Tamandua tetradactyla: one gene and its partners. The protein of the gene in region 2 purifies or fractionates together with the protein of the main gene of each other region. This does not show direct contact. Links are inferred from orthologs where the notes say so. Each region holds a gene or a part of one and is shown on either strand. Other genes may lie near its edges.

What was found.
Region 1: the proteins of DCAF7 (region 2) and CCT6A purify together in Homo sapiens (affinity purification with mass spectrometry; 3 studies listed by BioGRID and IntAct, counting the BioPlex papers as one, with this or other methods). This does not show direct contact. The link is inferred for Tamandua tetradactyla from reciprocal best matches to the Homo sapiens genes DCAF7 and CCT6A.
Region 3: the proteins of DCAF7 (region 2) and FAM53C purify together in Homo sapiens (affinity purification with mass spectrometry; 3 studies listed by BioGRID and IntAct, counting the BioPlex papers as one, with this or other methods). This does not show direct contact. The link is inferred for Tamandua tetradactyla from reciprocal best matches to the Homo sapiens genes DCAF7 and FAM53C.
Region 4: the proteins of DCAF7 (region 2) and CUL4A purify together in Homo sapiens (affinity purification with western blotting; 4 studies listed by BioGRID and IntAct, with this or other methods). This does not show direct contact. The link is inferred for Tamandua tetradactyla from reciprocal best matches to the Homo sapiens genes DCAF7 and CUL4A.

The regions. Positions count from the first base shown.
Region 1 is NC_135349.1:18,495,419-18,502,457, reverse strand, and holds the start of CCT6A (T-complex protein 1 subunit zeta), read left to right. Parts: upstream 1-4,029; 5' UTR 4,030-4,141; coding exon 4,142-4,278; intron 4,279-4,747; coding exon 4,748-4,811; intron 4,812-6,327; coding exon 6,328-6,462; intron 6,463-6,976; exon of another isoform or gene 6,977-7,039. UniProt on the Homo sapiens protein: Component of the chaperonin-containing T-complex (TRiC), a molecular chaperone complex that assists the folding of actin, tubulin and other proteins upon ATP hydrolysis.
Region 2 is NC_135332.1:4,678,414-4,686,122, reverse strand, and holds the start of DCAF7 (DDB1- and CUL4-associated factor 7), read right to left. Parts: upstream 3,019-7,709; 5' UTR 2,797-3,018; coding exon 2,659-2,796; intron 1-2,658. UniProt on the Homo sapiens protein: Involved in craniofacial development. Acts upstream of the EDN1 pathway and is required for formation of the upper jaw equivalent, the palatoquadrate. The activity required for EDN1 pathway function differs between the first and second arches.
Region 3 is NC_135346.1:18,004,443-18,011,413, reverse strand, and holds the start of FAM53C (protein FAM53C), read right to left. Parts: upstream 3,022-6,971; 5' UTR 2,696-3,021; intron 2,622-2,695; exon of another isoform or gene 2,242-2,621; intron 1-2,241. Other genes in the region: oocyte-specific histone RNA stem-loop-binding protein 2-like, read right to left, coding at 5,440-5,530, 5,673-5,825, 6,896-6,971.
Region 4 is NC_135330.1:183,681,196-183,688,754, reverse strand, and holds the start of CUL4A (cullin-4A), read right to left. Parts: upstream 3,011-7,559; 5' UTR 2,896-3,010; exon of another isoform or gene 2,108-2,895; 5' UTR 2,106-2,107; coding exon 1,949-2,105; intron 1,546-1,948; coding exon 1,399-1,545; intron 578-1,398; coding exon 462-577; intron 1-461. Other genes in the region: PCID2 (PCI domain-containing protein 2), read left to right, coding at 3,539-3,574. UniProt on the Homo sapiens protein: Core component of multiple cullin-RING-based E3 ubiquitin-protein ligase complexes which mediate the ubiquitination of target proteins. As a scaffold protein may contribute to catalysis through positioning of the substrate and the ubiquitin-conjugating enzyme.

The DNA of each region.
Region 1 (7,039 bases), on a different chromosome or scaffold from region 2:
TGTGGATTTATTTTTGGCAGGGGGCTCCAGGAGCAACATGGGAAAGAAAAGCCAAAGTGACTATTAAGAACATTATGGTAGTTATTCAAGTAAGAATGGACTGCGGCCTAGACCTGTGTAGTGGAAATGGGACAAAGAAAAGTGCATAGACTGAAGTAAAATTGAAAACACTCAGGGCTTATCTAGATATGGGCACTGAGGCAAATGGAGGACTCAAGAGTGAAACCTAGGTTTTTGGCTTTCCTCCAAACGTAACCTTGAGCTGGTCATATAGCCTCTTTCTGTGTTATTTCATCACTTGTGAAACCAGTTTAATAACACTTGACCTATCAATCTCAAAGGATTATTATTAGGATAAAACAGTTCTATTATCAGGATAAAATAGACACTGCATGTGAAGGTGTTATGAAAGTATATACTGGCATTACATTACAAGTACAACAGTAGCAACTTTCTGAATACCTTCTATGTCTGGCATAATGCAAAGCATGTTAAATATACTATCTCATTTTAATTTTCTCTAAGAAGTCACTTACCCCTACTTTACAGATTAGAAAATTTAAAAGTCAAAAATGTTAAGTCCAAGGTCATTTACTGTTAAACACTGCAGAACCAGTATTCAAACACAAGTCTGTTTGACTCTACAATTCTTTCTAATACACTGCCCTGTCTCATTAGGTTCTTTCTTAAAATTTTCTCCTTTATTGGAAATCCCCCTTAATCGAATGGCTGAACACCAGCTGCCATCTCAATTTCTTAATCATGGATGAAAATAAATCTGCTACTGTGTCGATTTGAAAGGATTATATGCTCTAGAAAAGCCATGTTTTAATCCTCATCCATCTTGTGGAGGCACCTGTTTCTTTTCATCCCTATTCAGCATTGTAGGTTGGAAATTTGATTAGATTATTCTCACAGAGATGTGACACCCCAATTGTGGGTATTAACTTTTGATTAGAGGGAGATGTGATTCCACCCATTCCAGGTGGGTCTTCTTTAGTTTACTGGAATCCTTTAAAGGAGGAAACATTTTGGAAAAAGCTTCAGAGCCATGAGAACCACGAGAGCCCAGGCAGCCAGAGACCTTTGGAAATGAAGAAGGAAAACATTCCCAGGCGAGCTTCATGAAACAAGAAGCCTGGAGAGAAAGCAGCTGTCAACATGTTCGCCTGTGCCTTTCCAATTGAGTAACCCTAAACATCAGTGGCCTTGTTGAACCAAGGTATGTTTTCCTGGATGCCCTAGATTAGACATTTCTATAGCTTTGCTTTAATTTGGACATTTTCACAGCCTTGGAACATGTAAACCTGCAACATAATAAATTCCCCCTTTTTTAAAGCCATTTGTTTCTGATATATTGCATTCCAGCAGCTTGCAAACCAGAACAGCTACTACAAAGCAGCTTACCTTTTTGTCTGAAATTCTCCAAAATGCATTCTAAAATCCTCATTCTTTACAAACATTAGCATACATTGCTCTAGAAAAGCCATGTTTTAATCCTAATCCATCTGGTAGAGGCAGCTGTTTCTTTTAATCCCTATTCAGGGATTAAAAACAAGACAAAACATTGTCTAATCCATATTACTCTATTTTGTATCATATACTGAAAATAATCAATTTAACCATATACTTTAAATTGCTTGAAAGTGAGACTGAGACTAGCAGAATGAAACATGCAAATAGATTGTCTGGATCCTTTTGCTAAGAATTTTGACTAATGCCTGGTAGGGAATCAGTGGAGACACCTAATTTAAAATACTGTTATTTGTCTATCATGGATTGTTGGCATTAATTCTGATATCTAAAAATATTTCATTAAAGTATTATTAATGTAGATCACTGAGTTTTTGGGTGCCCCATTAAATTCTGCACACCAGCTAAGTGCTTCACTGGCCTCATTCTAGTCACAGACCTGACCAAGGCAGCCCACTCAGAAGTCTTCTCACTCTCCCTTCCCCTACCTACAAAAAAATGCAAGAAATTCCATCACCCTCATCTCTGTTCACCTGATAATACCTATTTTCCGCATACTTATGTAACAGTGGTTATGGTAAATTCACACTCACACTAAGAAATGTCTGCAGAACTAATTACAAGTCACCTTCTACCGTGTAGTGCTGTTACTCAAACTTACGTCTTTGTGGTTCTTAAAAATACAAATCTACCTAAATCAACTATACACCAGGATATTCACCGCAGACCAAACGGAAGATTGAGAACAATTCAAATGCCAATCAATACGTTACTTGTTAATTATATCATTCTTACAAAGAATGTTATGCAGCTGTTAATGAGGATGAGAAATTTTACTTTTTTTTCCCCAAAAAGCAGGTCATCCAACAGTGCATATTATAAATTGCCAATCTGTGTGAGAAAAGTACTTAAAATTTACATACATTTGTAAACTTAAAAATCATCTGGGAATGACTGTATGGTATGTGAATATATGTCACTAAAATTGCATTAAAATAATCATTGGGGGAATTCAGAAAGTATCTGAAGCTCTCTGTGCTTGCCTGGAAAAAGTTGAAATGTGAAAGGGAGAAAGACTTAACTTTTTACCTTATGTTCTTTTGCATCTTCTGAATTCCTAACAATTTTCATTAGCATCTATTAAAAACAAAGTACAAAAACATTATCACATACCTGGTGGGGGGGAGGATTAGATGTTAGGAAACAATTTTGGAAATCTTTTGGAATTTTTTGGTCTATGAAGCCTTTAAGTTGTTTTCAAACCTGCCTTTAAGGCATGGTGGCCTCGGATATTGTTCTGAGCCATTCGAGAGGACTGAGTTGCTTCTCCTCGACTCCCATGGCAACAATCCGTAGCTTTCTATAGACATCTAACACTTCTACCTTGCTTTATTACATCCCTTTATCTCTGCAAAGTCTAAAATACCAAGGTTTAATTCTGAGGAGGGAGAGTCCTCATCAGATTAGTTTCTGTATCTCCACAGAATCTGGCACAAAGCAAACAGTTAACAGAGAACTTTGCCAAGAAAGTAAAAAGACAGCCTACACAATGGGAGACAATATTTGGAAATGACAGACCAGATAAGGGTCTCTAGTATCCAGAGATATAAAGAGATTGTTCAACTCAACAACGAAAAGACAAACAACCCAATTACAAAGACGTGAACTGACACTTCTCAGAAGAGGAAATACAAATGGCTAAAAGGCACAGGGAAAGATGCTCAACTTCCCTGGCTATTAGAGAAATGCAAATCAAAACCACAATGAGATACCATTCCACACCTACCAGAATGGTCATTAGCAAAAGAACAGAAGACCACAAGTGCTGGAGAGGATGTAGAGAAAGGGGCACACGTATCCACTGTTGGTGGGAACGTCATACGGTACAACCGCTGTGGAAGGCAGTTTGGCGGCTCCTCTGGAAGCTAAGTATAGAATTGTCTTTTTAGTTTAAGGTATATTAGAGAGACTAGAGGGAATTCCTGAAACTGTAGAGCTGATTGTATAGACGTAGATGATTGTATGATACAGCTTTCACAATGCGACGACTGTGTGATTGTGAAAATCTTGTGTCTGATCCTCCATTTATGAGTAAAAAATATGGATTAAAAATAAATAATAGAGGGAACAAATGTTGAAATAAAAAATTTTAAAAATGTAAAGAATGTATATTTGTTTATTGCTTTAAATGGTGAAAGAGATAAAAGAGGCAGGGGAAGGAAACAGAGCAAATCGCGCAAGTGAGGGAGGGAAGAAGCCCACCCTAAGCTATGAGGATAGAAGACTCCAGGAAAGGGTTGCTTGCTCTCCAATCTTCTCCCGCAGGCCTCACCCCTGCCTATGTCCTGAGATCCAGGGTCCCTAAACTCCTGCCAGCCCGCCGCCACACCGGAAATCTAGGCGCCTGCGCGCCAGGGGAATACGCTCCAATGACGCTGCGCCAAGGGCGTGAGGGGGAGGAGCCCAGAACGTGGGGCGGAGCCTCGGGCAGAGCGGCCACTGCCCAATGAGCGGGTGCCGGCTGAGCCGCGGCCCAATGACGGCGGCGCGCGCGCACGCTGGGGCGGGCCTAGCGTACCCGACTTTTCCAGAAGGGTTCCGAATATCACCTTCCGGCCACGCTGAATCGGTCTTGGGTTTTTTTTCCTCGGTCTCTGCTGGGTCAACTATGGCGGCTGTGAAGACCCTGAACCCGAAGGCCGAGGTGGCTCGAGCCCAGGCGGCGCTTGCGGTCAACATAAGCGCGGCGCGAGGACTGCAGGACGTGCTGAGGACCAACCTGGGGCCCAAGGGCACCATGAAGATGTGAGGCAGGGTTGGCGGGGAGGGCCGGGCGGGCCGGGGACCGCGCACCTCGCGGCTCGACGGGACCAGGGTGCGGGGAACCCGGAACTCGAAACCGTCTCCTCCGAGCCTCCGCACCCTCCGGGACGGGTCTGTCCTATTTTCCTGTGCCGGGTACCTTGATTCCGGCTATTCTTTCTTGCGGCCTCCGTGGGGAACAAAGCCGCCCTCGTGCGCCGCACCCCCCACCCCACCATCCCTATGTCTTCCTGCGGTAATGAGGGTTCGGCAGACTGTCTCTGAAGGGAGGGGGTGGGCACTGCACCATCTCTGTTGACTGGGAATAGAGATTTCCAGCGCCCTGTGAAGCTGTGGAGCTGTGGATGAAGCCCGATTTTTTATGAAACACTTTTTTTTTTTTAAATGGGACTGTTTATTTTGTCTCTGTTGGAGAGAAAATCACAGTAATTAATTTCTGCTCATTGAACAGGCTTGTTTCTGGAGCTGGAGACATCAAGCTTACTAAAGATGGCAATGTGCTGCTTCATGAAATGGTGAGAGGATATTGTAGGACAAAAATGTCTTGATTTTCCATAGTACGTTTGATTTGTGGGAAAATCTGTCTTTTCTCAAGATTAGGAATGCCATCGTTAATATGACAGAATACAGTGATGGGATCTAGATCTCACTTACATTTTTAAACAGTTATAATATTAAAGTTAATTAAAATAGCATCTGAAAAATTAAGAGTGATTGATAGAGTCAGATGGGCAAAATGGAACAGGATGATCACACTTTTTCACTTTTTAAAGCCCTTCCATCTTACTTGCAAGTGGCGGGGAAATAAAACCTTTTCTTTAAGGCTTTACCATTTTAAAGTCCCAAATGGCTGGAGAATACGAGATATTTGAAAGTAATAATCGTTTTACTCATTCATGAATTGCCAAAACAGTAAATCCAGAAAGAGGGAATGAGCTGTGATTTGAGTTCAGAATAAAATTTAGGATTTTGATGGTAGACAAGTATGCCGTCAACATCCAAATATTCTTCAGTAAGGACTAGCTAACCTAGACGGTATAGTTTGTTTTGATGGATTAAATGGTGACAATGCCAGTAGGGAACAATTGGGAGCAATCACATAAACATGTCAGAAAAGTCAAATCTACATGGTGGTTATTACAAATATCTTTTAACTTGCATTTCTTTGATCAGATACTTATTTGCTTTGCCTTTTGTTTTGTATTTATAATAAAGAGAAGCAGTACAATGTTTACAGTTTAACAAATAAGTGTAAAGCAATCATGTGCATTTACTCTCTTAAGAAATAAAGCATTATCACCTCCAAAGCTGTCACTTGTCTCTCTTTCTCCAATCTCAAGAGATCCATTTTTAATTTTTCATTTTGAAAAACTAAGATCTATACCCTTTACATGGATTTACTAAATACTGTTATCACACCTAAGAAATAGACACAATGCTAATCTCATACACAGTTCATACTTGTTTTTACGGTTGTTTGCTCAAACGTCCTTATTAGCTTGTTGCCTTTGTTGTTTTTCCAGATCCAAAAGAAAAGTTTTTCCATGACCTGTCATAATGTGCCTGGTGATAAGACACAGTGAAAAGTATGCAATTTGTCAAAAATCAGCAAATCTTAGATAATAGCAAAACCTAGATTCTAAAAAGAAATGAGTCACCAAAGACATAAGCTGGCCAACTGTTTTAGACTAAAGAACTATAGTGAGTCATGAGAACTAAATGCAGTACAGAAGCCTTGATTGGATCCTATGTAATTAAGACTAGGGTGCTGTTGAAAACGAGGTGAATGTAGGGTTCATCTGTTGCTGTTAATTGTTCTGTCATCTTAAACCTTAACTTCAAGCTTCTGCAGTGGAGATAATCTGAGATTTAAACAATGAATTGGTATACAGTAATAGCAATGCCGAACATTTTAGCAGTTCATTTAAATGAATAGCACTTTAACAGGCCCTTTACCCATTTATTTGAGGTATAATTGGATTGCTTCATTTTAAGTCATTAAGTGGTTTTTTTTTCTTTTTCTCTTTTCAGCAAATTCAACACCCAACAGCTTCCTTAATAGCAAAAGTAGCAACAGCCCAGGATGACATAACTGGTGATGGTACTACTTCAAATGTCCTGATCATTGGAGAGCTGCTGAAACAAGCGGATCTCTACATTTCTGAAGTATACATGGTTTATGCATCTCTGAATTGTATTGTATATATAGGAAATACCTGAATTTTATTTATAGTAATTGATGTGTTCATAGTTACTTCATTGTCTGACACAAATTTATTTCTGACCCCAGACAAGATGAGGGATCTTCCTTGCCTGAAAAAACAATTTTATCAAGTTGCATTGCATATAATTTTTATGTCCATCTTTATTCTACAGACATTAATATATAGGGGCTTAGAAATCAAATGTGTATGACTATGTATATTTCTAAGGGAAGGCCAACCAAAACCTTAAATCAGAATTTCACAACCTTTTTATTCCTAAGTACTTCCAGGGCCGCAGCAAACTCCATGACTACAAATTCAATGTCAGAATGACTTTACAGGAAACAAAGAGAAAACAGACTCTTAGCTTTCCTTGTATTTGTTTTTATTAGTAAATGATATGAATTCCAGAAAAAGTAAATTGTTCCTATTAACTGCAACTTAGGGTAGTTTTGAGTTTGGACATTGTCTTTGGTTTGCACAGTGAACACCCAAGTGTGCTTTATATAGTTCCCTTGGTTTTGACGCTGTGCAAGAGC
Region 2 (7,709 bases):
ACACCAAAAAAAAAAAAAAAGCCATTTCTGAGCTTTTTCATCAATATTAATCTGCGAGGTGTCCACTGATTTTGTCTTCTGCTAGCAGTCACTATCTGTGGTAAGCAGGAACCAAAGATCTGAAAATTCTAACCAATAACTTTTTAATTACTCTAAATTATGAAGTCTTCCACTTTTGTGGAAAGGGTTCTCAAAAACTTAGTATCTGAACCACTGCTTTAAAGTGGGATTTACTGCCTACCACCCTCTAGGGGTTCCCCCTGATGTCCACGAACTTCAATTGGAAACATATTCCCATTTTCACTAACCTTCAGCTGAAATTTAGCATTTCCTTCAATAAGGGATGGAGGGAGATACAGCATTAGCAGTATCTGTGACTTTGTCACCAATAGAAGTCACTGATTTTTTTCACTTCACATTAGTTTTAAGCCTATCTTGAAATGCTGTTTACCCTCTTTGCTATTTCAAAATTACAGTTATAATTATACTAGTTATTGTTAAATGACCTGATGTAGTACATATTACTACATCACCACTTTAAAAAAATGTTTTGGTAACTGTAGTTAAATATAACTATTTTTTTGGGTACTCCTATAAATTTATGGATTTGAAAAAAAAATTTTTGAGAAAGGATCTATAGACTGCAGACTGCCAAAGGTGTACATAGCACACATACTAAAGTTAAAAGCCATAACCTATGGAGAGGTGGAGACATGAAAATAGTTTTAAGATTCTGCACTGACTACATCATGCAAGCAAATTAAGACGCAAGTATTCATTTAATCTGTTACTACTAGAATTATTAGTTTGCATTTCACTATCGTGTGTGCTCAGTACAAAGGAGGAGAACCATACGGTTTCTGAAGGAAAGGACAAACTTGGGACAGAGTTTCTGCCACTGAGGTTTGACACTAACTGCTCCACAGATTCCATGACAGCCTGTGCCTCAGTTTCCCCTATCTTAGAAATGGGACTACTATTTTTATCAGACCGACCCTGGAAAAAATGTGCAAAGAGTAAGAAAAGTCTTGTTTGAGAAGACTCCAGACCTTTGAAAAACATATTTTACTTTTTTTTTTTCCAACATGCGTCCTTAAACAGTAGTTCTACTGGCCTTAATTTTACTAACACGGTTTCCACATCAGGGTCCCAAAATCCATTTCAACCTCTGTTGTCCACTATGGATCAGCCATAAGGAATAAACGGCATCAGAGAAAAGAAGATAAAGCTATGTCTTGCGCAGGACTCTGTTGTCTGTGGGCAATGGGTGGACTTGAACATCAGTGCATACTTCCTAGGGTTTGTCCGTAAATTGTTTTTACATGCAATGTAGGCAATGCAAGTCCATTGCTTTAATCAATTTCTCAAAGGGTACTACAAAAAAAAAATTAAGACATACTCTAGAGTAACTCGTGATCCTGAAAAACAAAAGAAACAATATTCCTGAAAAACAAAAGAAACAATATTCTCAAATACTTTTTACAGGCTTTTGACATGTAATAAGGAACCCCTTTCCTACAGCACACTGTGGGTCAAAATAGAACTCAACTGTGCAATACCCCCAGCTGGGCAATGTACCGACAGGATTCAACCTTAGACCATCTGGCTTTTTATTCCCTGCACCATGCTTTTCACTGTCCAATTTTATTCTTCCTAAGTCTGTTATCATGGTTTAAACGGGAGTATTGGCTTTAAACATCACCAGTCAAAGCTTTCGGTTGTTCTTGATCACTATCAATCACAACATTTACTCAAATATAATAAAAGGAGATCAAGGGGTAAAGGAAAGAATAGTTCCCCCCCGACTTAGTCAACAACTTTCAAAACTAAATGCATGCTTCACTGCCAACGTAAAAGCTTCCTCTCCTACCAAAGCTTCTATGAAGGCTTCTCAAATTGGTGGATATCCAAAAAGACTACTCAAGGTTACACATCTGTATTCGCATGAAAGGAGCCAAAATAACATTATAAAAAGCATCATCCTTCCTTAGGAAACAACGGAAGGTCCGTTGCCATGCGCCAATACTTTCAAAAAGAGATCACTTTAGAGTGGACGGTTATCAGGCGGCAATACCGATGGCACTAGCGGCAGAAGGGCTGGGAATCATCAACAGTACCTGGGGGTGGAGGTGAGGCAGCCTGTGCAAAAAACAGCCCTAAGCCCTAAAGGGAAATCTAGTGTGGCCAGGAAAGAACGACCACCAACCGAAGCGCTGGCATTTCCCTCACAGCCATCACTCCCTGTTCCCTCCCCCGCCCCCCAACTGAAGCACTGCGGCAGGAGGGGAGGGGTGGAGAGGGGAGGGGAGCGGTGGGGAGGGGAGGGGAGGGGAGGGGAGGGATAAATGGCGTAGCTCGTGTAAACTCAGGTTTGAGACCTGCTTCCGTCACGAAACAGCTGTCTGGCCTGACGAGTCACAACACTGTGCCTCGGTTTCCCCATCAGTCATATGGGGATAACGACACTTCCGATTACACGAGTGCTGCCACAATTAAAAAAAAAAGAGAAACCCTCAGCACAGGGCCAGATACGTAGGAACGGCTCCATGGCGCTAAGGCCAGTCCGCAGGGGGATTCTGGGGTCTGGGCTCCAGTTCCGTAAGGGCGCTCCCGGGGCCCGCTCCCCGCCAGCTGGGTTCCGAGCCCTGCCCGGCCCACCTTGTTGTTGTATTCCTCCACGAAACTGCCCAGCGCCAGGCGAAAGCGCTTGTCGGGCCGCACGCTCCAGTTCATGGCGTAGACGGTCCAGGGCGCTTCATACTTGTAGATCTCCTTCCGTTTGCCGTGTAGGGACATGGTGGCGGCGGCAGGGCCGCAGTGAGGGCCGGGTCGGCAGCTAACCGCAGCCGGCGAGGAGTAAGAAGGGCTGGGAGCCGGGCCTGGGACTTAAGGGTCCGAAGGGAGGCGGGGCGGGGGCGCAACGAGAGAAAAGGCAGCCGGGCCCGACCCCCACTTTCAAACCTGCTAGGGTACCGACAACAACCACCTTCCGTTTGGGACGCGGCCCCGCCCCCTCCGAACGGAAGCCACGGGACCACCACAACGGCTCCGGCCTTTGGCTGCCTGACACGTCCTTTCGAACCATTCCTTCGTTTCATTGGTTATTATGACCGTAGCTTTTGAAGCCTCCTTTCTATTGGCGTAAATGCGTGCCATTCCAACTTCTCGTCCCGCCTAATTCCTGGGGGCAGGCGCTTTGTTAGCCACAAAGGTCATTGGCTGACAAAGATGTCAATCAGAGGGATAACAGCGCAGTGCGGGTGAATGGGGCGTGGGGTAGAGAGGCAAGCCTGTCAGGCAGGCGGCCCTCCAAGTTCTAGGCCAAGTCTTTGAGCGTGAAACTTCTTGTGTGACCTGCTGTGACCTACCCGCTGTTGCAGTTACTCTAAGCGGCCTTTCCACGCTGTCGAGTAAAATTTAAACTCTGCCTGTTGCATTCGCGGCACTGAGCCCGGCGGCTTGGCAACCTGACCCGCACGGAACGGGAACACTCCCTCACCCCCGCTTCGCATGCTTCCAACGCCCCTTTTAACCCGGACAGCTATTCTCCCATGCCCATAGGACGGGCCTCGGACCCGCCTGTTGCAGACCTTCCCGCGCTCTCCTGCGATTCCAGATATGCTCGGATTTCTCGTTGGTCTTCAGTAGACAGCTGCACGACCAGCTTGGCTCCAGGTTCATTTCGGGTACCGTCCCATCCCATCCCATCCCATCTTTTCCCCCCACGGGATCCCGAGGCAAATGCTAACCGAGCCCGAAATGTATCAGTGCCGTGACTTTGAAATGGAGAAAATGAAAATCTGGGTAACATCTTTTTATAATTTAAATGGTTTCCAATTCTTTGCTTTCAACAAAAATGAAGGAAGATTGCATTGACTTGTTAGATCATATCATTAAATACCATTTTTAATGATAAATGTGATTATTATACAACTCGGAAAAAATTAAAAGAATTGAGTAACAGTGCTGTAACAACCCCCTTCTAGTCCTAGCCACTTATTTATGTGAAAAAGTTTTTTTCTGCACTGAAGTTTAGGGAAAAAAGAAAGAAAAATACCAACAAAACTGTTGCTGAGGCTTACCCTATTCTAATAAAAAGTAATGATATTCATCCACAGATATATGACCTAATTGGGGGGGAAATTCCCTTTCAATCTCTTTAAGGAATGCATTTCAAAATTTTTAGTTTTTATTAAAATGTGAATATATATTTATCTTGTTTTGAACAACTTTATACTAAGAATAAATGTAACTCCTAAAGCTTTAGCAACGTTTCAAAAAATTAATTTTAAACGTTCAATTTATACTCCTGTTTGTGCTGCAAACAGATGTTGTAGGGTGATTAATAATAGTCTTTGAAACATGAACATGAAATGCATGTAGAGTAAAACAGGGAAAGTAGTGGAATTATGAGTAAAAAGAGAAAAAGGAATGTTAAAGAAGGGCTTGTTCTTGTGGATAACGATGGCTTTCAAATCACTATGCTATCTGGATCACGAGTCAGTATAAATAAGGGACAAAACAATTTTATAAAGTGTCAATATTTACAAGACAGTGGGAATCACATCTTTTGCAACGATTTAAACTTATCAGTGAAATAGTTCAGCTGTCAATTTAAAAATGCATTAGGGAGGGATACAAATGTTCAAATTTCCTTTAGGGGGTACTTGAGCAAAAATGACAGAAGAGCCTATTTCAGTGCAGTGCTTAACTGCACAGGTTCTCAAGCCAGAGACTGGTTTGAAATTATATCCTCCTACTGTGTTGGGCAAGATTCTTTTTACTTAAAAAAAATTTTTTTGTCTTTTTTTTTTTTTTTAACCAAATTAGAATTTACACATAGAAGTGCACATTTGTTCACAACATAAACAGAATGTAACCAGCATCCAGATCAGGAAACAGAACACGACCAGCCCCCTGGGAGTTCCCACCATGCTTGGGTAAGTTTCTTAGTCTTACTCTGCTTTTGATTCCACATGTCTAAAATAGAGGTAATAATACCAACCCCATAGGGTTGTTGTGAAGTTTAGATGAACAGTCTTCAAAGTGGGCAGCGTGCTGCCAGCACAGGATGACGGCTATGTGTGTGTATGGCAGTTGGCATGATTCCTGACAGCCACCAAGTCAGCACCTCCCTGCTTCCCTTCTCCCTGGCCTGGCTAAGAGCCCATGCTCTGGGGGCTCCTGGGTCCAGAGGAGCCACCTTTCAGGTTTCCAACAGTGGATGTGAAGGACAAGCTCCCACCTGCATGTGAGAAGGGCTTGGAGAAGACCACAGCTATTGAGGACCTGATTATACACCTGAGCCAACATGAAATATACAGACTTGTGTTTGCTGCTTACTTTGCGACACTCTACTACCTACATGGGCCCCAAGGTTATCACAGAACTGTCAGGGGTGGACTGGAGCTCTGTGCCTTGGCAGGTCAACCAAAGAGGAGGCCATCATCTTCAGCCAAGTCAAAGGCTTTCAGCAGGAGGTCTGACTGACCCTCAACCATGGGTGCTGGGTCCTGGGCCATGAGGTCGGGCTGGGTCTGAGCCAAGAAGTGATCCCATAGAAAACAGAAACTTCTCTTTACTTCCTTGACTCCTTAGTCCTCTAAGCTACTCCATACCAGAGGCACCCACTCCTCCACCAGGTGTGCTGTTTAAACAGAACCCTGGGGGTGGCTGGAAAAATCCCAAGTCTTTTCACCCACGCCACCTGGGTCACGCAAGTTAGCAGTTTGAAGTTACTCCGGGAGAATGATTTTCAGAGGCCCATTTCAGACAGCATTTTGGGGCTGTCTGCCTCCCCTAGGATCCTTGACACTCACCCCACCCACTTTCATCCTTTCAGAATGTCTTTTATCTTGGAATTCAGGGGCTCTAACTTCCTGCAAATCCAGGATCTGAGCCATATCTCTGGAACGCCAGCTGCTTAGGGACAGAGCCAAGGGATTCAGGGAGGGAGGGGAAGCGAGGACCACAGATGGGCCCCTGAACCCCTGGGGGACACAGAGGTGAGGCCAGAGGTGACAGGAGCCCCTCAGGCTTCTCCTGTTTCGAGGATGGTGCCAGAGCTTTGCCCACTGCCACAAGCAGATGATGCATCCTGGAGGAGCAATTCCTGCTCTTCAGTGGACATTTGTCCAAGTCTCTACAGCTTGAGGTCTAGGAGGGGCAAGAAATGATTGGAGGCATGCAGAGGGGCAGCCCCCAGGCCAGGCTACAGGTTCATCCACCCTGACTTCAGGGGTGGGAATTGGCAGAAACTATGCTTGCTCCTCCTAACCTCAGGCACCTGCCACCCTTGTCCCAGCCAGGAGGTCACAATCTGGGCTTTGCCACCACCCTTCCACACTGCCCTGTCATGACTCAAACCAAAGAGGACAGTAGAAGCCACAGCTGCTCTGGGTCACCGAGGCCCTGGGTCTGAAGCCATGCTGGGGGAGGCGGCATGCAACAGCTCCAGGCAAGCTCCTAGATATCCCCTCACCTGCTCACCTGTGCAGGCGGCAGGCCGTCCTAGGGTTGCCTGGGCCAGGGACTCTGAGCTGCTGAGGTCACAGGAAACAATGGCAGGTCAATGGAGGCAGGGGCTCCCTGGATGGAGTGGGTGCGGCCCTGGGGCGGGGGCTGCTGAAGGAGCTGTAGGATGCGCCTAAGGTCTGAGGTCATCTGGAACTCCAGCCTGCCAGACAGAACCCCATAGTCAGGGTCAGGGTTGGTGAGAGCAGTTCAGGTCCTGAGGACAGATCTCAGTTTTGTGTAGCATGGTAACTAAAACCCTTTCCCCACTAGGATCCGAAGCCCCTGCCCCAATACCCCTAAGCACCTCCCTGATTCCCATAATAATAATGACGAGGCGCCACGCATACATCCTTCTTCAGTCCTCATAATGATGTCTTTGGCATTGTGCTTTGGGACACTCAGAGAATGGGGAGAACTGTAGCTAAATAGGGCTCACCATCCTAAAAAAGCAAGGCTGGCACAGTTGTCAGCCAGGCACTCAGTGAAGTCCCTAAGTCACAGAAGGGAGCACCCATGCCCAGCCCGTTTCCGGGCCCACCCTCTGTAACCACTCCATGCCCTGGCCTGCAAGGCACCCACCTGTTCAGCTGGGCCTGCAGCTGCTCCAGCCTGGAGCCCAGTTCCTGAGGCCAGTTGTCTGAACCTCCCTTAGGGCTTGGAGAACTATGCCTCAGGGACACTTACTGAAGCAACTCAGGCCAGAGGCCAGATGCATCTGAGGTGCTCAGGACAGAGGCTACACCTGTAGGAAAGAAAGGGAAGCCCAAGCCCCGGTCTATCTCCTGTCCACAGGGCTGTCCCTTCTCAAGCAGACCTGTGCCTCTCCCCCAGCCACCATGGGAACACGGGGTGGGGGTAATGGATCTCCTTATCTAGGTACCCCAGAACATGGAGTCTTGCCACCTTAGAGGTCTGGCTTCCAAGGCTCGGGAGCTGTGCCCTGGGAAGGGTGTAGGGCCCCAGCCTGGGGAGACCGGCTGGGTAGAAGCTTCTAGCTCAGGCCTCACTGTGAAGACACCTGCAACCCAGGGGGTCTCCTGGTGCCTTGCTGTAGAGCCCCAGGGGGCTGACCTGTATCTACCCCTGAAAGCAGCGCCCAGCCCCTAGCCAGCCTCACTCCCTGACCCTGAGGACACAGGCCATTAGGGCTGGGAAGCTGGGGAGGGAAGGGGCAGGGGCCTCTAGCCCTGAGG
Region 3 (6,971 bases), on a different chromosome or scaffold from region 2:
AAAGATCATGGATACAATTAATCAAGACTCCCTTTCTCATGGTCAATTTCTGGTAAAAGCAAACTATTAGAGAACAGACTTCAAGGCCACACAATTGCCTGAGGGGCCTTGCTCAAGGGAAGTGGGAGGTTAACTTAATATCTCAATGATTTTGTTCTGCCCATTCTCAGAAATGACCAGTAGGCAAACAGCTCATCAGAGGGTATATGTGGCATTTGCTAGCAGAGAGAACAAAGGACAAAGAAATCTAAATCTCAATTCGACTTTCGGCAAATCTTTCAACTTTCCTTGGCTTCAGTTTACCCATATTTAAAATGGGCAGAATAATCTTAATCTGTCACAGGGATGACGTAACATGAAATATGCAAAATGTATAAAAGCATGCAATCTAGCCTGTACAACTCAGGAGTCCATCAAGGCTACCCTTTCTCACTCCTCCTGTTCGTTGCTTTACAAAGCCACGGGATGCCAGAAATTATGGCATTAAAATAAAAAAAGCAACAGGCTCTATGTCTCTGGCTGGATGCCAGCCTTGCTCACCTGGTACCACAGAAGCCCAAGAGGGCTCTTCCTTCTGTGACCTTGGGGGCAGATCACTATATTCTTAGGAAAAAAAGAGGGAATCATCACTATCCCATTTCCACCTCAGAGGGAGGCCACAAAGAGCAAAGAAATACACTCAGATGTACTAATCTACGGTGCATCCACGGAGTACTTGGAATTACTTGGAAGAAAGGTGTGGGAGAAATCAATCATTATAATTAACTACCATTTTCATGAATAATTATTACCACCCTGAACAAAGTCCCAGCTTCCTGAGGGCTCCCTTCAGCTGCTTCCCCTATGTTCTTGTGGTAAAAGCTAAGGTTTTTATCATTTCTGCTCTTGGTTTCTTAACCCTGCCCTCTAAAATCAACCAGAGAGGGAACCTAACTGCAGGCTTTTAACCCAGAGACCTCAGGCCTCAGGCTGACCAGCCATGAGGAGCAGGGAGTGAGGCAAACTCTTTCAAGCTTTTCATGAAGCATTTGGCCAAACAGCAAACTCCCAGCCCTCTCTGGGATCAAGTGAAGAGAGTGATATTGTGTTTTTCTGAATTTTAATTGTTGGGATGTGGCCACACACGGCGGTAATTGGAACAATGCAACTACCACTACGCAACTGATACTGTTAGCCTGAGTTTCCTAAAACAGGCCAGGCTGAGAGGGGGAACAGAACGGAAGCCATAAGGAATCAAACCAGGACACAAAAGAAGGCAAACCAGCTCCACGAGGGGCCTCTTCTTTCTCAAGCAGGCATTGAAAAAAGTATGAGAAGCCCTCTCTTGCCGCGTTCCTTCCCCTTCCATTTTGTATATTTGAGGGGTAGAGTCAGCCCTGAATGTGCACCAAACAAGTGAAAACTTCTCAGCTTAACAACTGGCACGGGGCTCAAGCCTTTACAGAGCAGCAGGCCGCTAGGCCCTCCCCACAACCCCACCAGGCCCAACTCTCAGCCCAGGCTTTACCTCCTCCACCAGCCCCCCAATAAAAAGATCGAACCCCCATCCCGTTTCCCATTCAATGGCAATAACCCGACACCAGGGTCTCAGGGATGCTGACGTAGTGCTGAACCTGGAGAACCGAGGATCAAGTCAAGCGAGGTGGGGGGGCAGCGCGAGGGAGAGCCACAAATCCCCTAGGAATATTGCCCCCCAGGTCCCAGCCCCACACCTTCTGGGAGACTGAAGGAAAACATGAGGGAGTCAGGAAGGTGCAGGAACAGGTAAGTGGGGATCCGAATGGTCTTCCTCCATATGGTTCTGGTGGGGATATGGGGTGACAAGTGGGGAACACCCCTCCCCCCCACTCCGATGAAGAAGCAAAAGGCCAGGCCCCCTCCAATCTTCAACCTCTCCCTCCGCTGCCAGTCTGTCTTCTCGGGGTGGGGCATGGGGCATCCGCTGGCCCTCGGCGTGAGGGGCGCGAGGGCTCGCTGAGGGGGGGCTATCGCTGGCCTTTTCCCACTCAGCTTCCATCATTTGGCCGCGGGAAACAAACTCGGGACGCAGGGTATGGAAAGGGTCTAGGACTTAGCACTCCGCCTCCCCCTCCCCCACCAGGTCCCGTGCTCTCCCGGCGGAGGCGGCCGGCGAGGCCCGGCCGCGCTAGCAGGCGGGCTGGGGGAGGGGAGAGAGAGGAGGGAGGGACGGCCGAGGTGCCCGCCCCGAGGCCCCAGCGCCACCTGCCCTCCGCCACCTACCGCGGCTCCTCCAGCTCCCAGGGCCGCGGCCGGAGCAGCTCTGAGCGCTCGGTTCGCCCCACGGTGCCCTTAAAAGGCACCGGCGCTAACCATCGGGCCCCTGAGGAGAGTGGAGGATTCGAGGTGGTTCGCAGAATCCCTCTGATCTGTCCGCGGGGGCCCGAACCCCTCGTTGTTTCTCTGTTACAGTCTTCCTCGAATAGCTTTGTCGGGAACCAGCCTGGCGCTTTGATTTAGCAATGGGGGTGGTTGACTCCCCATCGAGTCAACCCCCCAAAATATTGCAGAAGGTGGATGGATCCAGTTGCAGGCATATCTTGAAACCCGCGGGGGAGGCAGTGTCCGACGCAGGTAATTAAAGCCATCGCCCTCGCCCCCTATTCCTCCATCGGCCCAAGTGCAGACTCCCACTCTGTTTGGATTGTGTAATAGTATTAACCAAGGTTCCTCTCACCTGTTCTCCTGCCCCGCTCTCCGCCGCCTCCTCTCTGAAGGAATCCCCCTTCCCCCAGCAGAGGACTCGTCCGCGGCGTGAAGGCTACCGGGAAGTGTAGTCCAAGGGCCGATTAGGGCCTGCTCTGGTTCCGTGGATCCCCCCTTACAGCTGCGGGATCGGCTCGAACCTTATAAACCCAGGACTTAATAACGGTCGCGGGGCGGTTCCCACTTGATCTGTAATTAGATCTCACCCAAAATACTTTGTAAAGCTGAGGAGGGCCCACGGTTGTTCACACCTCTTTCCTCTTCGCAACCCCCCCACCCCACCACCAAGAGGATGAGGTAATGGGATTGTGATTATGACATCATAGGCGGTTCAGTTACTTGCGGGGGCGGGGGGGGAGGGAAGGTGGGAGGGAAACGATGGTTACGTCTGGACCACTTTCCTTAAGACAGAGAGGAAGCAGGGAAAAGGGGAAAAGATGTTGTCTAGGTTTTATTTCCTCCTCAGGAAGAGGGAAACCTCCTTTTATTTAAATCACCGCCACGACCACCTCCCACGGCAGCCAAAGTTTAAATCCTTTTTAAAGAGACTGAATGTAGATGTTAGTAAATGAAGAAGTTGGGGAACAGCTGGATAATTTCTGGTTCTGGTGTAAATTTCTTAGCTAGCAACAAACATGGTTCAGAGAGACAGGCAAAAAGAATGAAAAAGGAGAGGTTTTGAACAATTGCTTTCCTGTTGTGATATCTCTTTGTAGGGCAGAATTTTAGATTTTTTTAATTGATTGGAAAGTAATAGTAATGCAAGTAATTTTCACTATTACACTTACAACAAGCCCCTGAAAGACATCTGTTTTCTCTAACTATTTTGTGCCCCACTCAGATCTGGGACAGGGTAAATGGCTGTGATCAGCTAGAAGTAGAGTCAGTGGTAGGGATCTTCTTCACAGAACCAGGGAAGGAAGGAGGCAGGAGCCACCGAGTCCACAGACTGAAAAAGAAAAGAGTAGAGGAAAGGTGAGGTACTTATCAAGAAGATAGGGGTGGGGGGAAGATTTACCTTGCACTACATATTTCTCCTTGGGGGGAAAAAAAAGAACAGAGAAGAAACCTTGACATATAGAAGACATGGTTTCCAATGTTGTGGAGCGCTTACATACCAGGCACTGTGCTATATTCTTGAAATAAGTATTCTCACTTTTGCTTACAATTACCAAGAGACAAAAACACAAAACAAGACAAAAAACAACCCTAATTTGGCAAATGAAAAAGCCCAAAGGATAAGTGACTGCCCAAGTGATGAGTAAAGGTAGTATTAAAAATCAATTCTGCATAGCTCAAATGACCCCAAAGAGAGGTATGGAAAGATCAAAGGTGATGGTGAAATTATACATAGAAGATAGGACTTAACAAATAAATATGAACGCTGGATCATTAAATTGATCTCTTTTAGTTTCCAGTATTTTAGAGGAGCTAGAAGTAAAAACCTAAAATTGCGAAACTGTAACCCATGTCAAAGTCTGAAATAGGTTCTACAACTAACTGTGGTGCTGTGCTTTGAAAGTTATAGCTTTTTTGTATATGTGTTATTATTCACAAAAAAAGAAGAAAAGTCAACTGTGGTAATAAAAAAGTATTTAAGTCCTCTAGCCTCCTATATTCTGGAGCAGCTAGAAGGAAAAATATGAGAGGATCGTATGGTAGCCCATGACAAACTCTGGGATCTGTCCAGTAACCACTTGTTGAAGAGTGCCTTGAAAACTGTTGCTTTTTTATTTCTTTGCTTTGTATATATGTTATACTTTACAATAAAAAAAGTTTAAAAAATCAATTCTGTAAATGTATTAAACTTGTACAAAGAACTAATAATAGAGTGGTATATGGGGGGAAAAGTACCTGTTACAAACCATGGACTGTAGTTAACAGTAATATCTTAATATTCTTTCATTAGCAGTAACTAACATACTACACCAAAACCAGGGGACAACAATAAGGGGTGATAAGGGGCATGGGGTATTCTGGGTTTTCTTTTTATTGTCTACTCTTTTTCTTTTTGGAGAAATGAAAATGTTCTAAAATTGATTGTGATGATAATTGCCCAACTAGGTGATGATACTGTGAGACATTTTATACTTTGAATGGATTATATGGTGTGTGAATTTATCTCAATAAAATTTGTAGTTAAAAAAAAAAATTAATTCTGCCCCCAGTACATCCAGAGGATGACCCTGTAGATGTGACACGAATCTGAGCTTCAAGGTACATTAAGCCATAAAACAAAACTAAAAACCCTGAAACCTTAAAGCCCTTGCTCTTCACCACTAGGCTATCCTCCTTTTTATTGTCATCCATCCTTCAAAATGTTAAATGATTGAGTAAAAGAAGTTAAGTTAGCATTGGCTCACTTGAAAAACACTTAAAAAAGAATTGACAAACTTAAAAAAAAAAAGTCAAGTTTCATACAAAGAAAACTTACATCAGCTTTCATCAAGTGAAAACAATACCTGCCCTTCCCCAGTGCCACCCAAAGGCCCACCCCCACCCTAACTATAATTAAATCTCCTTATACCATTCCTAGTTCTCAAGTGTTTTACTCATGTTCTGCTATTTTTTCTGTTGCCTCCTTTTCTTTCTTTTGTTCTTGTGCTACTACCTTGAACCCCATCTTAATTGTGACTTCATGGGCCAGTCCCTATCTTTGACTGTGCTCCAGTGGATTTCAGCAGAAGATACTACCTTCTGGTCTCCATCCAGATCCTATGAGGGTTCCAGGGCCTGGAGCTTGTCATCCAGTAGGTCATCCAAAGGGGTAGAATCCACTGGCTGTAAGAGTTTCTCCATTCCCTGCCTAGGAAGGCAGCACAGTCAGAGGAATATGCATCTCATACAGTCATTCCCTTTTCAGCCAGTGAAAGCTAAACCTCTGTTGGGTGGGGAGACGTAGGACTCAGCCCACCACTCACAGAAGGAACCAGAAATAGCAAACACACCCCTCATCCCCACTGCCCTGCAGAGTCTGGCTGGGGGGGTCCCAGGAATGCAGGGCTTTTCTCCACTGTCTGATCTGGGCATCCCAGGAGCGACGGCTGTACTTCTTGTTCTTGTTTGGAGTTTGAGGGTGAATCCCTGGCTGTCGCTGTGCCCTAGTAATGAGAAATGTGGGTCAGACTGAGGTCAAGGTGAAAGGGAGCCCCATATAATAGGGGGCACAACTCACTGCTTATCATAGTGAATGAGGAAATTTGTTAGTGATTCCTGAGAATGGTGTAAGATCCATGTTCTTGTGGAAGGCTGAGTTATGTGCCCCAGAAAAAAACATGTTCTTAATCATCAGCACTCCTGTGGGTGTGAGCCCATTATAAATAAGACTTCTTGAAGATGTTAGTTAAGGTTGGGTGCAACTGAATGAAGGTAGATCTTAATCTGGATTACTAGAGGCCTTATAAAGAGGACTTGGAGGTCAGAGAAGCCAGAAAGGAGAAGCTTTTGTAATGTGACTAGAGGCAGATAGACAAGCCAAGGAAATCCAAGGATTGCTGACAGGCAGCACAAGATGCTACAGACCCTCAGGAGAAAGCAAGCCTTGCTAACATCATGATTTTAGACTTCTTCTAGCCTCAAAACTGTAAACCAATAAATTTCTATTGTTTAAGCCATCCCATTGTGTGGTATTTGTTATAGCAGCATGGCAAACTAAGAGGGTCCTCAATCCAACAAGAAAAGTAAATCTTCCAATCACATTAAACACCAAACTTCTGACCTTCGGGAAAGGGTAAGTTAGATAGTCCCAGCTTCCTTGGAAGCCAAAATAGACATAAAAGACAGTGTTTATCTTCCCTTTAAAATGAATTCTACCTTTTCATACATTTAGTTTGTATATATACATGTAAATTTGCATGTAATTAAGCAAGTATGTTGCAATTATCCAACTCAGCTGGAAGCATGAGGGGATAGTAAAAGTGGTTGGAAGGAAAACTACCTCATTAGGAAACACAGGTAAAGCTTTAAAGTCTTATGGGCCAAGTATTACTTGTTCCATTAAAAAAAAAAATCTTAGAAACTTATCTTTAGGGCTAGATTGCAGGAGACTTGGTTTTAACAATGCTGTAACTTTGTGAGAGCACTCAGATTTTAGTATCTTTCCATCACCTGACATTGAAATACAACAACTTGGTTGACACCATTGTTGTCACCATCCCACAGGTGCACTCACTTGGGGACCTTTTGCAGAAAGCACTGATAGCCAGGTGTGCACTTGCCATAATCTATTTGTTTTTGCCGCCGCTGCA
Region 4 (7,559 bases), on a different chromosome or scaffold from region 2:
CTATAATTTTGCTACATATTTGGAAAATGTTAGGGGCATGTGGCTTTTAGAAATACCTATCCTCTTTATTGTAGTTGGATAACTTGAATATCTTTCTAGGCAAGTTAAGCCTGAAAACAAAATAAAAAGCCAACAACCAACAACCATAAATAATTGGTGACAGTGGGACACACTTTTATACAACCCTTTAATGTATGAGGCAAACATAGTGAGACATTTGGATTTATATTATTTCCTTCATTATTGACTCTGAAAACAATATTGAGCGAATTACGTAATTTAAATTTGTATCGTAACTCACAGGAATTGGATAATTAACTTAAGCCATAAAACAACCAGGTAATTGTAGAGACTAAATGCCATCCTAAACAAATTTTGAAGTCTTCCATGTTCAGAAAAATTCTGCATTCATGTCTCTAAATTCTGGCAAATTCTACTTTTTAACATACTTGGACGCTTACCTGGTAGAGCTCTTCGAGGTTGTATTTAATGGAGGTACTACTTTGTATGGCTTTCACTGCCTCATGAAGCTTCTGCCATGTATCCTGAGTGTAATTATCAGGCAATTTAGGTCTGTCTGCAAATCCAGATAGAGAGTCAGGGCAGAAAGACCTCCATGCTAACAGTTATACATCTCTTAAAATGGTCTACAAACCAAGAATTTAAAAGAAAAGACACATAGGTACGAACATAGGAAGTGAATTTTCTAAACACCATTTATAAATGTATTGGGTTACAAGTTATGCAACCATATTATTTCTGTTTTGCTAAATATATTCGGCATTGATACTTCGGATAAATACACGAAAGACAATTTATAAATCTTACAGTTTTTTTCCCTTAAGTTGATTTCAGAAAGGTAATAACATGGAATAGTTATTCTCTACACAATATTTTAAAATTATTTAAATTATGCAATGTTGGGAGGAAGGTGAAGAATGAGCTTAAGATTGTATATACCTGTATCAAAAACGCTTGCTTTGACCTATTATCCGAGATAGGGCTGGTAAAAACTGGAAAAATGTATAGCTTCAGAAGTTACTCTGGTTGAGCTGTGCGAATCAAGATGCCTTAATTATTTGACCTAATTTGTAATTTTCTATCAATTGCAGAGTAATGAAAAAACTGGTACAAATAAAACTTGGCACATTGTTAAATTACAGAATAAATCGCCAAAATCATGTAGTCATGTAAGGTTTTAAAAGCCCTTGTTTCACACATTTAAGAAAGGTTTTTTAGTTTTGATGTAGAAAATGCTCAACTCCGGCAGAGTTGCGGAAACGTGGCCTGCAGGATCAGGTTAAAATGCCGACTCATTGGGCCTTTTACTATCTTAGAAAAGAAATGTATTGTCCTATAACCCCTGCACAAGTTTTAAAACCTTCCTCCACTCCGTACCCAGAAGGTGTAGGGTCCAAAACCGTCTGGTGACCGGACCAAAGTGATGATCAAGTTTGAAAGTGACGTGATGAACAGCCACAGAGGGCTTGCACAGAAATCCAACGAGCAAACGATGGAAAGCTGAGGGGTTGGCCTGCATGCACACTGGGAAGTAGACGGTGGCGGGAGGCGGACCACCAAGTACCACAGCGTAAATGCCGCAGCCCCTCTTCCGCGCCGCCCAGCGCAGGCTAGGTCGGCGCAGGTCAGCCCGGCGCGTGCGCGGGGCGGGCGACCCGCGCCCCTTCCCCATTGGCCGTCCCCGCCCCGACGTCCCCTCAGCGCGGCCCAACGCGCCGGCCTCGCCCGCGGGGGGCGCAGGAAGCCGCTCTCGCCGCCCCTTCCTCCCGGGACGATCACCCCCGCAGCCTCGATGAGGTGCGTCAAGCTGGCCGCCGGGCTCCCCAGGGTCCCGGCGACGCCGCGCGGGGCCGGTGCGGCCCGTGACCCGTTTCGACTTAAGCTTCCCCTCCCCCACAGTAAGGCACGATCGCCCTCCTGCACCTACCTCGGAAATTTTTGATCACTAATTTCTTTGAGCCGCTGCCGCCCCCAGGTTTCGTGGAGACGGCGGCGGCTGCTGCGAGGGAAGCAGGTTTCGTTAGGCCATTGGTGTGTCCAACGAGAGCCGAAAAGTTCCCCTTCTTGGGGGTCTCGTCTGCCATGTCTACAGCCGAGAAAACAAACCGGTGGCGACCGCTCCGCCCCACCCCCACCCTTGGCCTGTCCCCTCCTCCAGTCGCGGCCCGGGCCGCGCTTCCTCCTCCTCCTCCTTCCCCCGCGGCCTGGTCTCCCCGCCTCCTTCTCCGCCCCCGCCCGGTGCCCCGGCCCCCTCTGGAGGTGATAGCTAGGCCCCGCCGGCAGGCTGAGGAGCGGAGGAAGCCGCGGGGTGTCTCCTTCGGGAGCGCGTTTCGGGGGAGTCTGTGCGGAGACGTAGGGGAGCAGTTCCTCTCAGCCCTCCCTTCTTCCCCAGATAAAAGTAATCTCAGCGCCCACACGGCCGCTTGGCTGGGAACCGGCGCCGGTGCGGAGTAAACACTGCCGCCGGCCGGAGCCGGAACCCGGCCTCCTCTCCGCCCCCACCGGCGGCCTCAACTTTCCTAGGCCCGCCCCCTCCCCTCGGCCCGGCTCCTCGGGACTCCGCCTCGGGAAGGGAGAGTCGGTGACTAAAAGGGGCCGGCCCCGCGCGTGGCTGCACGAGCCGCAGTGACTGCTGCCCTCTGTGGCTCAGCCCGGTCTTCCACGAGCTTCCTGCCAACCGCCAACTCTCATGCCCTTGCTATTGTTCTCAAGTCCCGTCTCTCCCGTCCCGTCCCCATGGCTCAGGTGCCCTCAGCTCGGGGCCGACTTAATGTCAATCTCCATCTTGATCTGTGTAATTGGATTCCGTTGCGTACACGGAAGCTTTGGTGCCCTGAGAGGATGAGGGGTTCTGGGGCGGCCAATCACGCTCACCTCCCCTGAGACCCCGCTCTGCGAGCCACCCGGGTCACTCAGCGTGAGGCCAACGGCCACTCCCACCGCGCGTGCGCGCCCCGGTACCCCAAGTACCAGGGCCTGAGAGTAGATCAGCGGCGTACGAGGGTTTAACACAGCGGATTTTTTTTTTCTTTTTAAATATGCAACAGTCGAGAGGAGTCGAAAGACAAGCTACGCTATGAGGTTGTCCTCTGCCACGAAATCCCAAACCCTCTCAGGTCTCAGGGGCCTTCCCATGACACTTCACCTATCCCTTCATCTATGATCTGACTTGCCCCAGTGCGTCCTGGGTGGGACCAAATTGGAAATGAGGACCCGAGGACACAACTCGGTCTTCCTCAGCCCATTTTTCCCGCTGTCCCACCCGACTGAGGCCCGGAAGTTCCAGCGCGCAGACAAGCCATCTCTGACTCCCGCTCCCGCGGGAATTCTTCAGGAGCCAACAGCTAAGGGAAGGTGTAACCAGACCACCTCGGAGGCTCGGGTTGAGAGACGGACCACGGCTCGGAAGTGACGCCAGCGCGCCAGCGGAAGTGGGAACTCAGCTTGTATTTCTGGAGATCCAGCGAGGGGCGGTGATCGTTGCTCACTCTTGCTTTGGACTCGGCGGTCCACTTCCATGGCTCACATCACTATTAACCAGTACTTACAGCAGGTAACTTATTGGCTGGGGGAGAATACAAGGTGGTGCTTTGATGGTTGACCCCTCGGCTGGTGTCACCGTTATGTGCCATCTTTTCGTAGTGCTCTTGAGGTCTGTTATTTCTTCCCTTTGCCTATTGCTCTTTTCACTGAATGGTTCACCTGAAGGGCAAGAGGATTTGAAGCAGGAATTGATATTATAGAGCATTTCAGGACTAAGGGTCAGAATGTCCTGCTAGCCTGTCATCGTAAGCAAGTCAATTAATGTTTGCTGAATATTTCTGAGCTCTTCTCTGCAAAATGGAAATTAATGATTTAAGCAGATATATTTATTGTACTTACAGGAGATTCGCTGCCTTTAATTTAGGGAAGTGTGTGTGTATGTATGTGTCTGTGTGTGTGTGTGTATAAAGGAGCTGTGTGAGTGAATGGATCATGATGTTCTAGTGTTCTAGTGGATCATGTTGAGTCTGTAAGCCACGCTAAGAAGTTTGGCCTTAGTCATTGAAGGATCTTATCCAAGGACTTGATTTAGTCACATTTTTGTTTCTGATAGTTAACTGGTGGAAGTTTGAAGGGTGAATTTAAGGCAACTCAAATAAGAGATGGGGCTGAATCGTTAAGAGGCTATTCGTGTAATTCTGGTGCGATCCACTATGTAGTCATAGTTAACCTTTAGTACACTCCTTCTCTCTGTTAACGCTTTGCATACTTTATATCCTTTAGTAAATGTGTCTCTCAGAAGTTTTGTCTTTACAGCCTGTAAATGGCAGAAGAACAGTTAAAATGTGTATTTCCAGAGCTAGAACTAGAACAGTGGTAGTAAGGATGAAGAAGAGAGGTAAAGAATTTAAGAAATATTTGAAGGAAACATCACCAGGATTTGGGATTAAGAATGTGTGGCTTGAGATACAGGAAGGTGTTAAGAATGATTTTCAGGTTTCTAGCTTAGGCAATGGATGAGTAGAAAACAGATTTGGAGGAAAAAATAAATAAAGATATCTAGTTGGTGGTTGACATGATTGGGCCAGTAATTACTTAGTTAATTGAAATAGTTGGTTAAAAATGGGAATCATGGAAAAAAAACAATTACATACTTTTATATGAATTTAAAACCTACAGCTATCCATTCCCTTGCCAATCTTTTGATATAGGCTTAAGACCTTTACTTTAAGGATAGGTCTGACTTTGTCTTGTCTTTGCAGAGTTAGCATTTTTCAATGTCAGTTTATTTAACAAGGAGGACATAGGCTATTGTGAGGGGATTTGAACATAGGATCACTATAGAATTTTATGTACTTCTTCATCTTTTTCAATTTTCTGCCTGCACCTAATTCCTTTTTTTAAAGATCACCTTTTAAGACCCTTTTTAAAGCATGCAACTTAGTTTGTGAGAAACTCCCTTTTTGCATTCATATTTCATCGGTGTCATTAAATACATGATTACAATAACATGCACAAATAGGAAAAACAGATGTGAGGATAAACACATCTGGATCTGGATACACACACAAATTACTTGGCAAAAGTTTGAGTGTTTATTAGAGTGAAACCTACCAGGTATAAGCCCTCATCTTGCCATGGGCATCAGCCAGTATTTTTTTGGAGGGTTTGGAGAGAATACGAAACTTACTTATTCTAGTTAAGTCAGTTAAGGTGAGGTTGGTAAGAAAGATTCTACTATATGGGAGTCTAGAGTTCAGTAGACAAGTTTAGGTTGAAGATATAGAGAATTTTTAATGTAAAGTTTGTGGAAAAGACTGTGAGAAGGGATGGGATGTGGAATGTGGATAGGGAAATGGGTCCAGGATGAAAATCAAGGAAGATACTCATGCCCAATTGCTTTACCAAAGGCAAAGTAGCTACCAATGTGAGAACTTGAAAAATCAACTTCCTCCTAATTTTGATGGAGAAAAGTATTTTTGGTTGGGCCTGGCACATATATGTGTTAACAGATCCTTCAATATTTTTTAAAAATGGGTACCATTTTGTAATCTAGAGTTAGCAAATGATTATAGTAACTGAATCATTTAGATGCTTTCTTACTTTGTGATATATTGTTGAATAGCCAAAAGTAAGTACCTGACACTATCGAAACTCACTGAACTGTAAGCCAGATGCCTTGATCTATGATGATGATACTTTATTGTGTAACTGTATTATCTTTACCTTGTAAAACATCATCATAACTCATGATTGGCCCTGTTTGCACCCCCTTATCTTGTTTTGCAACTTTGAAGTCTTGTGATCACTTGGACAGTCCCTTAATCTTTATTAATGAAGGAACTTGAGTTAACTCAGAACTAACCCATTCCAAATCCTAGGCTATCTTATTAGACAAAGTTAGTTCTAATCATAATTGACCTCACATGCACAGTAGCTTAAACCTTAACCTACAGGTTATCCCTCATTATAATACCTATACCTCACATATGTTCTGTGACTAAGCATGAAATCAATTTGTGCATGCTCAGTAATTAGGTCATTTTTATCTTTGTCATCTTAAAGTCATTATATTTATTGTACTAAACCTGCCTATCTTTGAATACTATAAAACTCTAGGATTTACTACAGTTCAGAGAGACAGATCTGAGGTCCATAAGCCTCCTATTCTCCCTGCTCTGTGTTGGGCAATAAAGCTCTTTTTCCCTTTGAAACCCCAGTGTCACAGGATTGGTTATTGTGCAGTTGGGCAGTGTACTCATGCTTTGATCAGTATCAATTTTGATTAGCTCTGAAACAGGGTGGCAAGCTGTTGCACCTATACATTGTAACAGGATATGTGTGATTTGTTGTTTAGGAACATAGGTGCCAGTGGAACTGAATCAATATATAAATCACACCATCTTTTAACCATTTATCCAAGCCAGGAATTTGGGGGAAATTCCTGGAAAATTTCCAGGAATAAAGGAGCACTGACTGCTCCTTTAGTCCTCCTTTTTTAAAAATTTTTATTTTCTAATCAGTTGTCTTTTTTCCCACCATCGTTAAAGAAATTGTGGGTTTACAGAACAGTCATACATGAAATACAGAGTTGCTACCTGTTTTAGTTTCCTAGACTGTTCAGGAAATACCATGAAATAGTTGATGTAAACAATGTGAATTTATTAACTTATGGTGTTGAGACTAAAAGAAAATGAAAATCAAGGCATCATCAAAGGAATGCCTCCACCTGAAGTCTGGTGTTCTGGGCTGCCTGCCAGCAATTCTTGGCTTCTTTTCACATAGCAAGGCACGTGGGGTCTCTCCATCTCATCCGAGTTGCATGGATGATGAACCTCTTGCTTCCTGTAGCTTTCTCTCTCTGAATTTCACTCCGTTTATAAAGGACTCCAGTAACAGAATTAAGGCCGGTCCTGATTGAGGTAGGCAACACCTTCTTAACTGAAGTAAGTTACTTAACTGAAGATGAGATTACTCACGGTGTGTTCATAGCCACAGGAATGGATTAGATTTAAGAACATGTTTTTTTGGGGGACATACAGCTTCAGAGCACCACACTGATCTTTTGTTAGCCCCTTTCATTTATGTGGGACATTTGTTACAATTGACGAAAGCATATTTTTGTAATTGTACTGTTTAGGGTTTCACTGTTTGGGGATTTAAATTTTTAAAAATTATTTTCCTTATGTACAACTTAATATTTCTTTTTAAACTACATTCAACTATGTATTTCAGTGCTATTACTTACATTCACAATGTTGTGCTGTCCTCACCATTACCTATTACCAAAACATTTTCATTGTTCCAAATAGGAACCATGCACATTTTTTTTTGAGAGTGCAATGCTTTTATTCACCATAAATTAAGTATATTTCTAAATGTTCCTTCATCTTACACAATGCACTTGTTTTATTAAGTAAAACCCTATGAGGTGAGGCTTCACCTAATCTTCAGCCTCAAATTCATCTTCATGTTGACCAATCTGGATAATATCATCCTTTACCCTGTATTCAGATATATCTCAGTCCTATTCAGATCAACTTTGTTCATCTCTT